2 linked regions of the Neurospora crassa OR74A genome follow. The protein of the gene in region 1 interacts with the protein of each later gene in a pairwise test. Links are inferred from orthologs where the notes say so. Each region holds a gene or a part of one and is shown on either strand. Other genes may lie near its edges.

Region 1 (5,791 bases):
TCGGCCATGCCATCCTCACCAGCCAGCATCTCAGCGTAATCATCGGCCGAGGCAAATGTTGGCAGACCCCTCATCTCCTTCCTGCTAAGTCTGCCCTTCTTCTTTGCCGTCGAAGCATCCTCCTCGCCAGCGCTCTCATCCACCACCGCTTCCTCTTCCGAGTCATCCGAATCATCAAAAATGCCTTCAAAGGGCACATCACTGTCAGATCCCTCGAAGTCCTCGCGAGGGCCATCCATATCAAAGCCGACAGTGTCCATCTCCTCGTCTGAGTCGTCATATCCATCCATTCCGAGGTCGGATTCGTCTTCATCCAGCTCACCCTCAACCTCGGGTCGAGAATTGACCAATGCTTCCCAGATCTCGTCTTCGCCTTCTTCCTCTTGTTCTTCGCCGTCCAGACCACTGTTCTCCTTGGATGCTTTCTTGCTCTTTGCCATGTCTCCAGGCTTGCCGATGCGAGCAAAATACTCATGGAAGAAAACATCTTCGGCGGAAACCTGACCTGGTTTGAGATTCCAAAATGAGGCCGAGTTGACGGAAGGCTGCTTCTTGGCGCCATCTTTGCTGGACACGACAGTTTGGGAGGCGCCACCAGTAGCGAGGACCGGCTGCATGATTGAGCTTCCGCGCTTGGTCTCGGTAATCTTGGGGTTGCGGTAGACAAACTTGTCCAGGAAATGCATGAGGCTGTGGTTGGCCAAATCCGGCTTCGGCAGGCCCTTTTGACGGACGAGAAGGTTACTGGCATAAACGTGTACGGATGGATGGAAATGAGATAGAAGAGGAGCCTGGTGGTTTTGAGGTTAGTAAACTGGTTTCACATGCAATCAGAGTTCAAATAGGCACTTACCAATTCCCACAAGCAGCTTCTGTGCGCATTGCTATGCTCGGGATTTCTCTTTCGTCCATCATATCCTGTGGCACGACGGGAAGTTGGTGCGTCTTCACGCAAGAGACTGCGCTGCAGAGCCGCATCATCATTGACATCCTTGTAAGCCTCCACGCCATCATCTTCATTCTCCTCGGGAACAGTAAGCAACGAATGAAGGTCAGGAAACATGTTCTCCAGCTCGGAAATCAGATATAGCACCCCGCATGCGAAGGACGGCTGATGCAGGTTAAGCACCTGAACCAATCTCTTGACAAAAGCCTTCACTCTCCGCACGTCGGCATCATTCTTCAGGGCTCGAAAAAGTAGATTCATGTACAATGCTTGCTTCGATGACGTGATGAGTCTGGGATCCAATAATGATTCGTACAATGTCCGATAAAATCGGTCAACAGCGAGATGTTTGGTCACGGCGAGCTGTTGAATGAGCATGAGTGCTTGCACGCTGGTGTTGAAGTTCGACGAGTGCGTGATGCGAAACAAGGTATCGAGATGTTTTTCCATGGTCTCATCGTCGGCGGTAGTGAAGGGTACCGCACGATTGACACCAGTAAGCAGTGCGGATACGAGTTTTTGTGTCGTATCCTGCTCGTTGGCAGAAGCCTCGGTGTGATTTCGCTTGCCCTTCTTAGCTTTCCTGTTGCTGCCGCCAGATTTGTCCTCGGAATTTAGCGCTTCCAGGTTTCCCAATGAGCCAGTTTTGAGGAGGGAAAGGAAAGCCTCGAAGTAGATTCGGAGTAGCGTGTTGGCTATAGCGGGCTCTTTGGTGCTCAAGATGGTTTGATTCAGGGTGATGATGGCGTAGTATTTGGTGCGCAGACCTTGGCCTGGCTTGAGCAAAACCTCTTGCTCTACCGTGCTGATGACAATGCTTTTCATCGCAGGGTGAATGTTGAGCAACTGCAAGAGGAGGTATGACGCCCGAGATGCAATTTTCCGTTCGCGATCACCGAGTTTGTTAACAAGAAGTCGCAACAAATTGGCCTCTTGTTCCGGCTTGTCCCGGAGCAATGTGAAAACAAATTCCAGCGCGCGCATTCTCGAATGCTCAATCTGATCAGTCGACCAGATTTCGAGGAGCTGGACAATGCGAAAATACGCTGCTTTGAGCCAATCCTCGTATGCCCACATCATCAGGTAAGAATCAGTTAGCTTGGCTGGGAGCTTCTGGCCCTGAACCCAATGCAGCACAGCTTGATCTTGTAAAGCGGCCAGCAAGGCGGGTTGCATGTTGAACGGACGAAGCCGGCGATTACTTGGCAGAACTGTGCCATTGCCCAGCAGATCCACTAGAGCGCCCAGGGCAGCGAGTGCCTGACTACGGCTTTTCTTGCCGGCCAACCCGATCAGGGTTTCAAAGGCTTTCTGGTTGTGGAGAGGAGACTCTTGTATCGACAAGGTTAAGGCAGATACCTTGTCGGATAAGGTGCCGGAAGACATAATGGTCGACATGAACTTCTGAGTGGAGCTGGAGGCCTGGAGGGCGTTGTATCTTGCCGCGTCCTCCTTCAAGAGAGCGTCCGCGTAAGCTTTGAGGTTGGCAATCGCTGAAGAATATTGCCTAACGTCGGCAGATGGTGTGAAGGCAGGTAGGCCCTCGAGGTCGAGAGCATGCCAGTCAGGTCTGGGCTCAAAACCCTACTCAAGTTAGCATACCGCCAGGTAAGTCTGCGGCAGCGAGAGCGTCGAACTAACCAGCTTGTTCTTGCCTTTCTTCCCGCGCAGGGTGTCTTGGGCGGTCGTAGTTGTGCTCTCACTTTTTACTGTGGCAGAAATGGCTAGAGGCTGTTCCTGATCCTGGCTGTCATCCTGTTTTGTTTGTTCCGCGTCGTCGTCCTCTTCTTCGTCGTCTTCTTCGTCTTGTTCCTCGTCGACGGGGTTTTCAGACGACACGCTTTCAAGGTCATCCTCGCGGGGTATGTTCTGGAAGCCCAGGCTCAAGGCGAACTTTGTCAGTTCCTCATGAAATGACTTATCCAGGGATTTTTCGGGCGCCGACGCAGATTTCATGCCAGGTCCCTCTTCATTGTCGGAATCAACATTGGCGACAAGCTCAAGATCATCCTCGTCTCCGCCCAAGGCCAAAATTTCCTCCAGCAGAACCTCCTTTGTTGCATTGTGGGACTGGTCTTTGCTGGAACGGTCCTCTTGTCCTTCTTCAGTGCCCAGTAGAGATTTCTGGCGCCTCTTTGCATCTCGATCATCAGCTGTGGTGTTCGGTCTCTTGCGATTTGGTGACGCGTGTTGGTCAGTGCCGACGCCAGCGAGAGTTTGGTCGATCTTTTCGGTCAGTTGAGCAAGTGCTGCTGCTTCGTCGAAAGCCGGCCCCATGCCTTTCCTCTTTCTTTGCCTCGGTGACTTGGATGAGCCCATATCTCCTAAATCCGTCGTTGCCGAAATCAATGGACAGCGGGCCGGCACAATGTGTCTCGAGGTTGGCTGTTGGTGATGCAAAATAAACCATCTACGAGGAAGGGTTGGAAAAAAAAATGCTTGGATCATGCACCTAGCGGACCCTCGTGCGTCTTGCAGGAAGAGTGGAGCAAGTGGAGGTACAGATGTACACAGTACACTGACAAATCTCTATGTACTATGCAGTACTCTCCAAACCTCGGCTGGTTCATCATTGGCGCGGTACTTCGATTGACACTTTTTCTTATCAAGTTTCATTCGGTGGAGTTTGGCGATGCAAGCCTGAAATAGTGCTAAAAGTGTTAAGTCCTACGCTGGGTAATATTTGGAGAAAGTCTAATCGTACAGTTAATATTGTCTATCCGTACGGTGGTCTACTTTTGCTTTATTAAGTATAACTTAGTAAAACGGAGACTAATGAAACTGAAAGTGGCACCAAACTATTCGTTCATTTTTGAGGAATTTTTTAAGGTAGGTACCAAATCTATATCCCTAAGCATCATGGAAAAACTACCCCTTAAGCCTTTTTCATCTAAAATCTTATTAATTATTTATTTATAATAGCTATCTTCTTTGAGAGTTTCCTAGGGCTACTAGGTAGGTCTGGTCACTCCAAAAAGAGTGTTAGATAGAGTAAAAGATCAGAAAAAATATAATGCATTTTGGTAAGTTAATACTAAACTCTATTAAGTTAGAAAAAGAATATGAAAGTCTATTTTTCATTACCGTACGGATAGATAATATTGACCGTACAATTAAACTTTTTCAATATTTGATTTAGAATTGAATTGTACAATCTAACTTTAGTGTGTTTGTAGGTTTAGTACTAAAAAAAAGCCAATTTCTACTCTAGAGCCAGCTACCAAATGTCGAGGGTAGGAAAAACGTTTGAACCTCATTCAGACAGGTACTAAAAGGGGACTACTCTCTCATATCTTCCAGTCTTGGAGGTCCTAAATGAGACAAAGAGGGGTATAAGAAGGCTTCCATAGCATTTTCCACCCTGGCTATTATTATATAACGCTTCCAACAGAGGCCCTTTTCTCTCTTTAAAGGCTAATAGAAGCTTTAAACAATTTCTCCTATTCAACGTATAGCTAAAGAACCAAACTAACAAACAAACTAGTATTAACTTGTAGAAGGACCTACAACTAGGAGTTTAGTGCCCGTGGGGTATATATTGGATTTACTAATGAATCCCACTCACCGGACACTTCTATTTATAGTAATGTGCCTCGTAAATGCTAGACCTAATAAATGCAAATACTTAACAAATACTAGGAATTTCACTATATGTATTATTTTAGTATAGTATACCTACTAGCTGCTAAGTGCTAGCCGTTAGCCGGCTCGCTATATAAATTTACAATTGCCAGGGACCCCTCGAGGGAGCTAATAAGGGGTGTCAAATGTACCTAATACCCCTTATTAGAGCTGTTAGGGGTACTAGAAACCCTCCAAATAGTATAGCTAGCTGCCCAATTTCTAAAGGATTCTCCTTATTCTTTCCCCCCTTTACTCTTTTACCCTCATACTAGTACATCCCTTCATTTTACCCTTTCTATTTATAAACAACTATCAACCTTATACATTTTATTAGCAATTAAATTACTCTACGCAACAATACTGACTATAATTACCTAATATTATAATACCCTTACTTAGGAGTAGCGTTTTAAATTTTAAATAGGCAAACAACTAGCCTTACCGCTTAAGTCTTACTCAATTGACTTAATAAATTCAAAGAAAGTAAAATGTATTACTACCAAACTATATTATATTTTACTATTTTAATAAGAATAAAAACCCTACCTATCTCGTAAATATTGATTCCTCCTTATAATATTTCAAGAAAATTCACCCAAAGAATAGTAATTGGCTAGTTTTTAGAATAATATTCTTTCGTGTGCAATTAGAGCTCGAAATTCGTAGTCTAAGTACTATAGTTGAACTTTTATAAGAGAAAGCAAAGCAGATATAGCTCCAATACCCTAAAGCCTACAATAATACTCCTACTAACCCAAACGCAATACTTATCTTTGGGCTCAAATAGTACTATTTATTTAAAAAGTAATATTATAAGTAAAGCTTTTATAATGAAATTACCTCTATACTTAAGACTAATAGCGACGCTCTAATTAAAATAAACTATCTTAAGGATTTCTCTGTAAAGGATCTACGAGGTATACACGCAGGTAGGCCTTGTAAAGAGCTTGAATAATCGACAAAGAGGGAGAGGGAGGTCTGTGCTAGTAAGGTACAGAGCTTCTAGCTAAATATACGAAATGTGGAGGGTATTGAAGGTGCTAGAAATGCTAAGGCTAGAAATGTAGCCCGTGCGGCGCACCCGAGGAATGTACCTAATGATACGCAGTGTATCTGGTGTTAAGACGGCTGCCGATAGCCGACCGACTAATGCACCCAATTAGAAGGCGCGCCTGGCTTACACTTAAAGCTAGGCATTACCTCTGGGCGCCAGCCTTGTGA
Region 2 (5,323 bases), about 5.5 Mb from region 1:
CCCCCCTCCTCGTTGGAGAATCCCCCGATGTCAGCCATTTCAGCACCGCTGACAAGGCATCACCGAGTCGAAAGAAGAGCGTCAAACATATATAACTTTGACATAGACACGCGCCAGGCTGGGGCGCCAAAGATTGGAAAGAACATTACAACATCATTGTCTTTTTTTTTTTTTTTTTCATACTAAACCATAGCAGAGGCGTTGAGGGAAATTCTTCACTATACTATATAAAGGAAACAAGAAGACATAGAACTGGGGATCTGAAGAAGGGGGGTGATTTAGCCTGGGGTTGAGATGGCGGGGAGACTTCGGAAGCTGGAAGGTGGATGTTGGATGATACCCTTGTGGAGAAGAGATGATTGATTGGAGAAAGAGATTTTTTTGAAGCTTCGGATGCCCTTTTTATTTGAACAGTCAGTCAGATGTGAAACCTTATTTACTACTGTAGTGGGTAGGGATTTTGGTACTTATCGACTGTAGCAAATATGATACAATACCTACATATCTCAGCTCAGGATGGTATAGGAAGACACCATGCCGTTTCCCTGCTTTTTATAATCATCAACTCTCTGCAGGTGGCTCCAAGTGTCTCGAGAATTTTTAGCAATACTGAACTTGTCTATAGCACATAATCTCGAGTCTTAACTCTTTGGTGGGACTGGCTTTAGTCTCTTTATAGACAAGCATAAGGAAGCCATCATTGATTGATACAACTCTGCTCTAACAAACACAATTTCTGGTACAGGCATTTCATTCATAACCTTGTAGTCAGTCAACATATACACTAATCAATCGTTCTCGGCATGGATATTTGGTTTCATAATTTTGTACTAAATCAGTCTGCAGACTGCCTCACCGACACCCCTTATAGACGTTTCCAAACCAAAGATCGAAACAGGGAATAGTTCATAGGTTTTCCTATGGTTGTACATGATTATGGCATTGTCTTTTTTCTATGATTATAGATAGTTGCAAGGTAGCAAGGTAGCAAGGTAGCAAGGTAGCAAGGTATCCAGGTAGAAGAGGGAAATAGCATGAGTGCCATGTGATAGTAGGCAGCGAGTGCTGACAATACTAGATTCTTCCAAACAAAGCTGTAGCGGCAAATTCGGCCGGTCGATCGGTTGATCCTATGGTCCCATATGTTGGTTGGTATAAATATCACGTATATGCTAGATAGATGTCTAGGTCTACAAGCTTTGGCAAGGCAACTTCACGAACAACCCATCATCCATCAATAACTCCAGCTTTGGTCATCTCTTCTTTTCTGTTGATGATCTGATCTGGCATGAATGTTCATCTTCCCCAAGAGCAGCAGCAGCCAATGATATAAGATAAAGTAAAGTAATAAAACTAAAAACTCCCAAAAACGCCTTGTGTCTTGGTGGATGATCGCAACAATTGTGAGAGAAAAAAGATTAAACCTCCTCCCTGCCTGCCTTCTTCTTCATCCCCTCAACCCCTCATTCTCCCGTCTCCCTACTCTTGCTCAACTCAAAACTCAACGACATCCCTCGCCTTCTTCTTCCTCGGCCCCACGATCCTGTCACTGACCTCCTTGACGCCCTCCATCGGCATATCCGCATCATCAAAGTCCTCATCCACCACATCCCTGCTCCTCTTGAGACCCTTCATCTTTCTCGTCTGCAACTCGCTGAGATCCAGCTTGCCCATATGGATCCTACCAATCTTGTCACCGATGCTGTCCATGCTGATGTTCTTCTTGGTGCGCTCCTCGTTGGTCTTGGGCTTGCGCATCGCAGCCTTGAGCATGTCCGCGTCGGGCTGCTGGAGGCGACCGAGGCGGAAGTCCATGCGGGGGCCGTGCTCCTCGACTTCGACTCGGGGGAGCTTCTGGCCGGAACGCTTGGTGCGGATCAGGTAGGCGCGCAGGTGGAGGGTGGGTTTTGTCGAGGGGTCCGAGGGATCGGTGGAGGAGGAAGTGGGCTCGTCGGCGGAAACGACAACGCAGTACTGCAGACCCTCAACGTCGATCTTGTCTGAGGGCTCGCCGCGGAAGAAGTCGATGAGCATGGATTTGGCGGTGGTGAAGGCGTTGGGGACGGGGGATTCGCTGTGGTACTCGGTTAGCTGACGTTCATTCACTACTCCTTCCTCTTTGTCACAAGAATCGGGGGACATACAAAGCAGTACCGGCGAACACCATCAAAGGCTTGGTGCCTACGGGCACCTTCTTGGTCTTGAACTGGGCAATGCTGCGGAAGGTCTCGGGGTCGAGGTAGAACTCGAGCATGTCGAGCATCTTGTAGTCGAAGGTGCGGCAGAAGGTGATGGTGTGGGGCCTCTTCTTGCTGCTGGAGCCGAAGAGGATGAGCGAGGTGTCGTTCTTCTCAGAGAAGAAGGTCAGGGAGCTGGCGTCCTCGAAGGGGTGGACGGGGTTCTTCTTGTGGAAGCGCTTGGCGTGGGTTTGGCGCAGCGAGTAGAGATCTTGCATGGCATCTTGGGTCTGCGGACTGTATTAGATTTTGATGATACCATCATATATAGGAGGAGAGGATATGGAGGAGGTGACATACGACTTGGCTGCAGGTGGTGCCGCGAAGGAAGAGGGCGGTCTTGGGGTTCTCATTGACCTTGGGGGCACGCTTCTCGAGCGCCCTCTTGGAACGGGCTGTCCGCGGCTTGCTGTGCGGAGAAGAGAACTGTCAGCTAATGTTCGGTATGTTCCATTGTCATGATCGATTGACGTACACTTGGCGGAGCATTTTGGCGGTCTGGTTATGCGATGACGGTAGTGGGTGGATTGGATAGGTACCGCAAGGTGGTGATGTGGACTGGGGACTGTCTCCTTCACCTGCAAATCGTCGTCGTGATGGTCGAGCAAAGAAATTCCAGAACGGCGCTTATCGATAAGAGGAGACCTTGAACTCGAAATTTTGTGGGGCAGGTGGGGTCAAGATTGTCCGCTCGTCCACTGGGCGCTGGCTTTCCCCTGCCTGTCGTTCAGGGGTTCACGGGCTGTTAGGTTCCATTCCATTTCACGCCTCAACGTCACTGCAACGGCAACCAAAATCATTTCCATTTCTGCCGTCTCATCACAATTAGGTTGGTGATGGAGTCAACCTTGAGTTCCATATTCTTGTTCTGATCACTCGATAATCACTTGCTCTTTGGGAAACAAGCATTGAGCAATATGATTGCCAAGTCAGCAACATCACAAAACTCTGGCATCACTCTTACAAGGTCAGCACACTTGAGAAGATTCTGAATACACGAAGCCAACATATTGGGATGGTGTTCTTCTACACTTCGGGTTCACAATACAGATTCCTTAAAACCGTTCTACTCTGACATAAAACCAGATTTCTCCAGTCATTGCTCCCGGCGAGCATCAAGAATGCTCTCATCCACCTACTACGGACCTACCTGGCCTGTCGTTCTCTAACACCATGAAGCAGTTCAGTATAGCTTCCCTCCTCTCACAATGATCTATTTCGCCATGTCCCCTCTCTCTCTCGTGGTCGTCTTGACTGGACCATAAATGTAGGATATCCATCCAACCTGATGAGACTCCCCGGTCTCTTTCCCCATCACGTCCAAACAGCCCATACCCATCCCATCCATACTTTGCATGTATCGTACAACCTCCGGAACGCATCCCATTCACGTGGTGGCTTCTTTTACCGTTGTTCCATGGATCCTCGGCACTCCTCCTTTCACCGCCTCCGCCTCCGCCGTCACTAGGTATGTATGCCATCGGGAAGCTACCTACCTACTTTTCAACGGTTTTGAAAAAGGGCGATTGCATTCTCGTCAAGCCCAGCCCATGCCACTGAAACTGAAACTTAAACTGTCCGCAGCTGTATGTATGTATGTACATGTGGAGTGTTCGGAGACTCGGGCATTAGGAATGCATTTTCGAAAAGTTCTATGCAGTTTCCCGCGACTGAGAAGCCTGGGATGCAAGTAAACTGTCGTGACTCGTGAACTCGTTGGAAGCATGTTCCCGTGAGGGTGTGGTGAGAGAAGGAGGTTTGGATGCGGGTTGTTCCGTGCAGGCGCTCGGGCCAGAGACTCGGACTAGAGAGGTAACTAATATCGTGAGGTTGATGGAACGAGTCTTGAAGACGGGGGGTCTCGATGATGGTGGGCTATCATGGTACGATCATCCTGAAAAGGTTTTGGTCGTTCACGGCTATGTTTCTTCAAATGGCGTCAAGAAAAGTAATGGCAAAAGGCATTTTGTCGCTTGGTGATGGGGTTCTTCGATGAACAAATCAACATCTCGAGATGGGGGTTTTCAATAAAACCACATATCGAGAACCAGTCCCTTCACACAGCACCATGATTATTCATTATCCAGATAAACTTTCAGAAAGAAAAAGGTTCATCAATCGTCAGAGAACAGACAATACACAAAAGGTGAGATAAGTGCAAAAATTCAAAAAGAGAATGTTGATCTCCCTCGGTAAGGATCGAACTTACAGCCTCCAGATTAACAGTCTGACGCGCTAGCCAATTGCGCCACGAGGGATATCCAGATGTTGTTGTAAGCCCATTGAACATATTAACTTATATCGGGAAAGTCACAACAGCCTGCAACTAACTGTTCAACAAGTTGCACTCCCTTCTGCCTACTTGGAGAACCATCATGTCTTGCTTCATAATGTCTCTCCTCGGAACTGTCGGGCTTAGGGTCCCTCTTTTTCTTTCATTTGCTTGTGCATCTGTGGTGCTAGAACTAGTGCACGAAATCCTGAATCTAAATGCTGTGTCATACAACTTTAGAAAAGTTGTCTCACCCCACGTTCCAACTTCGTCGGACGAATGTTCCTTGTCTTTTTGTGTTCATGTTCCGTGCTCTGACGCAGTTAAACTTTAATGGGGGCTCAAGTCAGGTTATCTTGTTCTTCTTCTTTCTCTCTGACTGGGCGCCAACCGAAAACGAGTTGATGACATTGATTGAGTGAGGTGGTCTCGCCACCTTTGCTTCTAGCTCGTCTTGCTGTTTGAAAGTTCTGTGCCGCGAGCGGCCGCCGCCGCGTTATCTGACCAAGCAAATGGGAGCTCAGCTGAATAGACATGTTACATACATGTTCAGCTCCCTTCGAAAGAAGCACTCACTGCATAGCCGTATCGGTACATGTATGACATGTGCTGAGAAGCAACTCACTGCTGCCATCACCGAACTACTCATGTATGTCTAGTTCACTATACCGGGACGGGACGTATGGAATTCCACGGGCGGTTATGTAAATCCGGCAAGGGCTACGATGTAGGCCATTGGCACACACTGGAAAGGCATCTCTATCTTTACGTAGGTAACCACGCACGCCATAGCTCTCAATGATAGACGTGGGGG

Evidence for each region.
Region 2: the proteins of NCU09894 (region 1) and NCU08595 interact in binary tests that used the Saccharomyces cerevisiae proteins (3 or more experiments, as listed by UniProt). The link is inferred for Neurospora crassa OR74A from reciprocal best matches to the Saccharomyces cerevisiae genes MAK21 and RPF2.

The regions. Positions count from the first base shown.
Region 1 is NC_026501.1:3,984,495-3,990,285, reverse strand, and holds the start of NCU09894 (CCAAT-box-binding transcription factor), read right to left. Parts: upstream 3,400-5,791; 5' UTR 3,395-3,399; coding exon 2,588-3,394; intron 2,531-2,587; coding exon 854-2,530; intron 792-853; coding exon 1-791.
Region 2 is NC_026501.1:9,517,335-9,522,657, forward strand, and holds NCU08595 (ribosome biogenesis protein), read right to left. Parts: upstream 2,829-5,323; 5' UTR 2,727-2,828; coding exon 2,713-2,726; intron 2,647-2,712; coding exon 2,538-2,646; intron 2,468-2,537; coding exon 2,145-2,467; intron 2,075-2,144; coding exon 1,495-2,074; 3' UTR 1,132-1,494; downstream 1-1,131. UniProt on the Saccharomyces cerevisiae protein: Required for biogenesis of the 60S ribosomal subunit.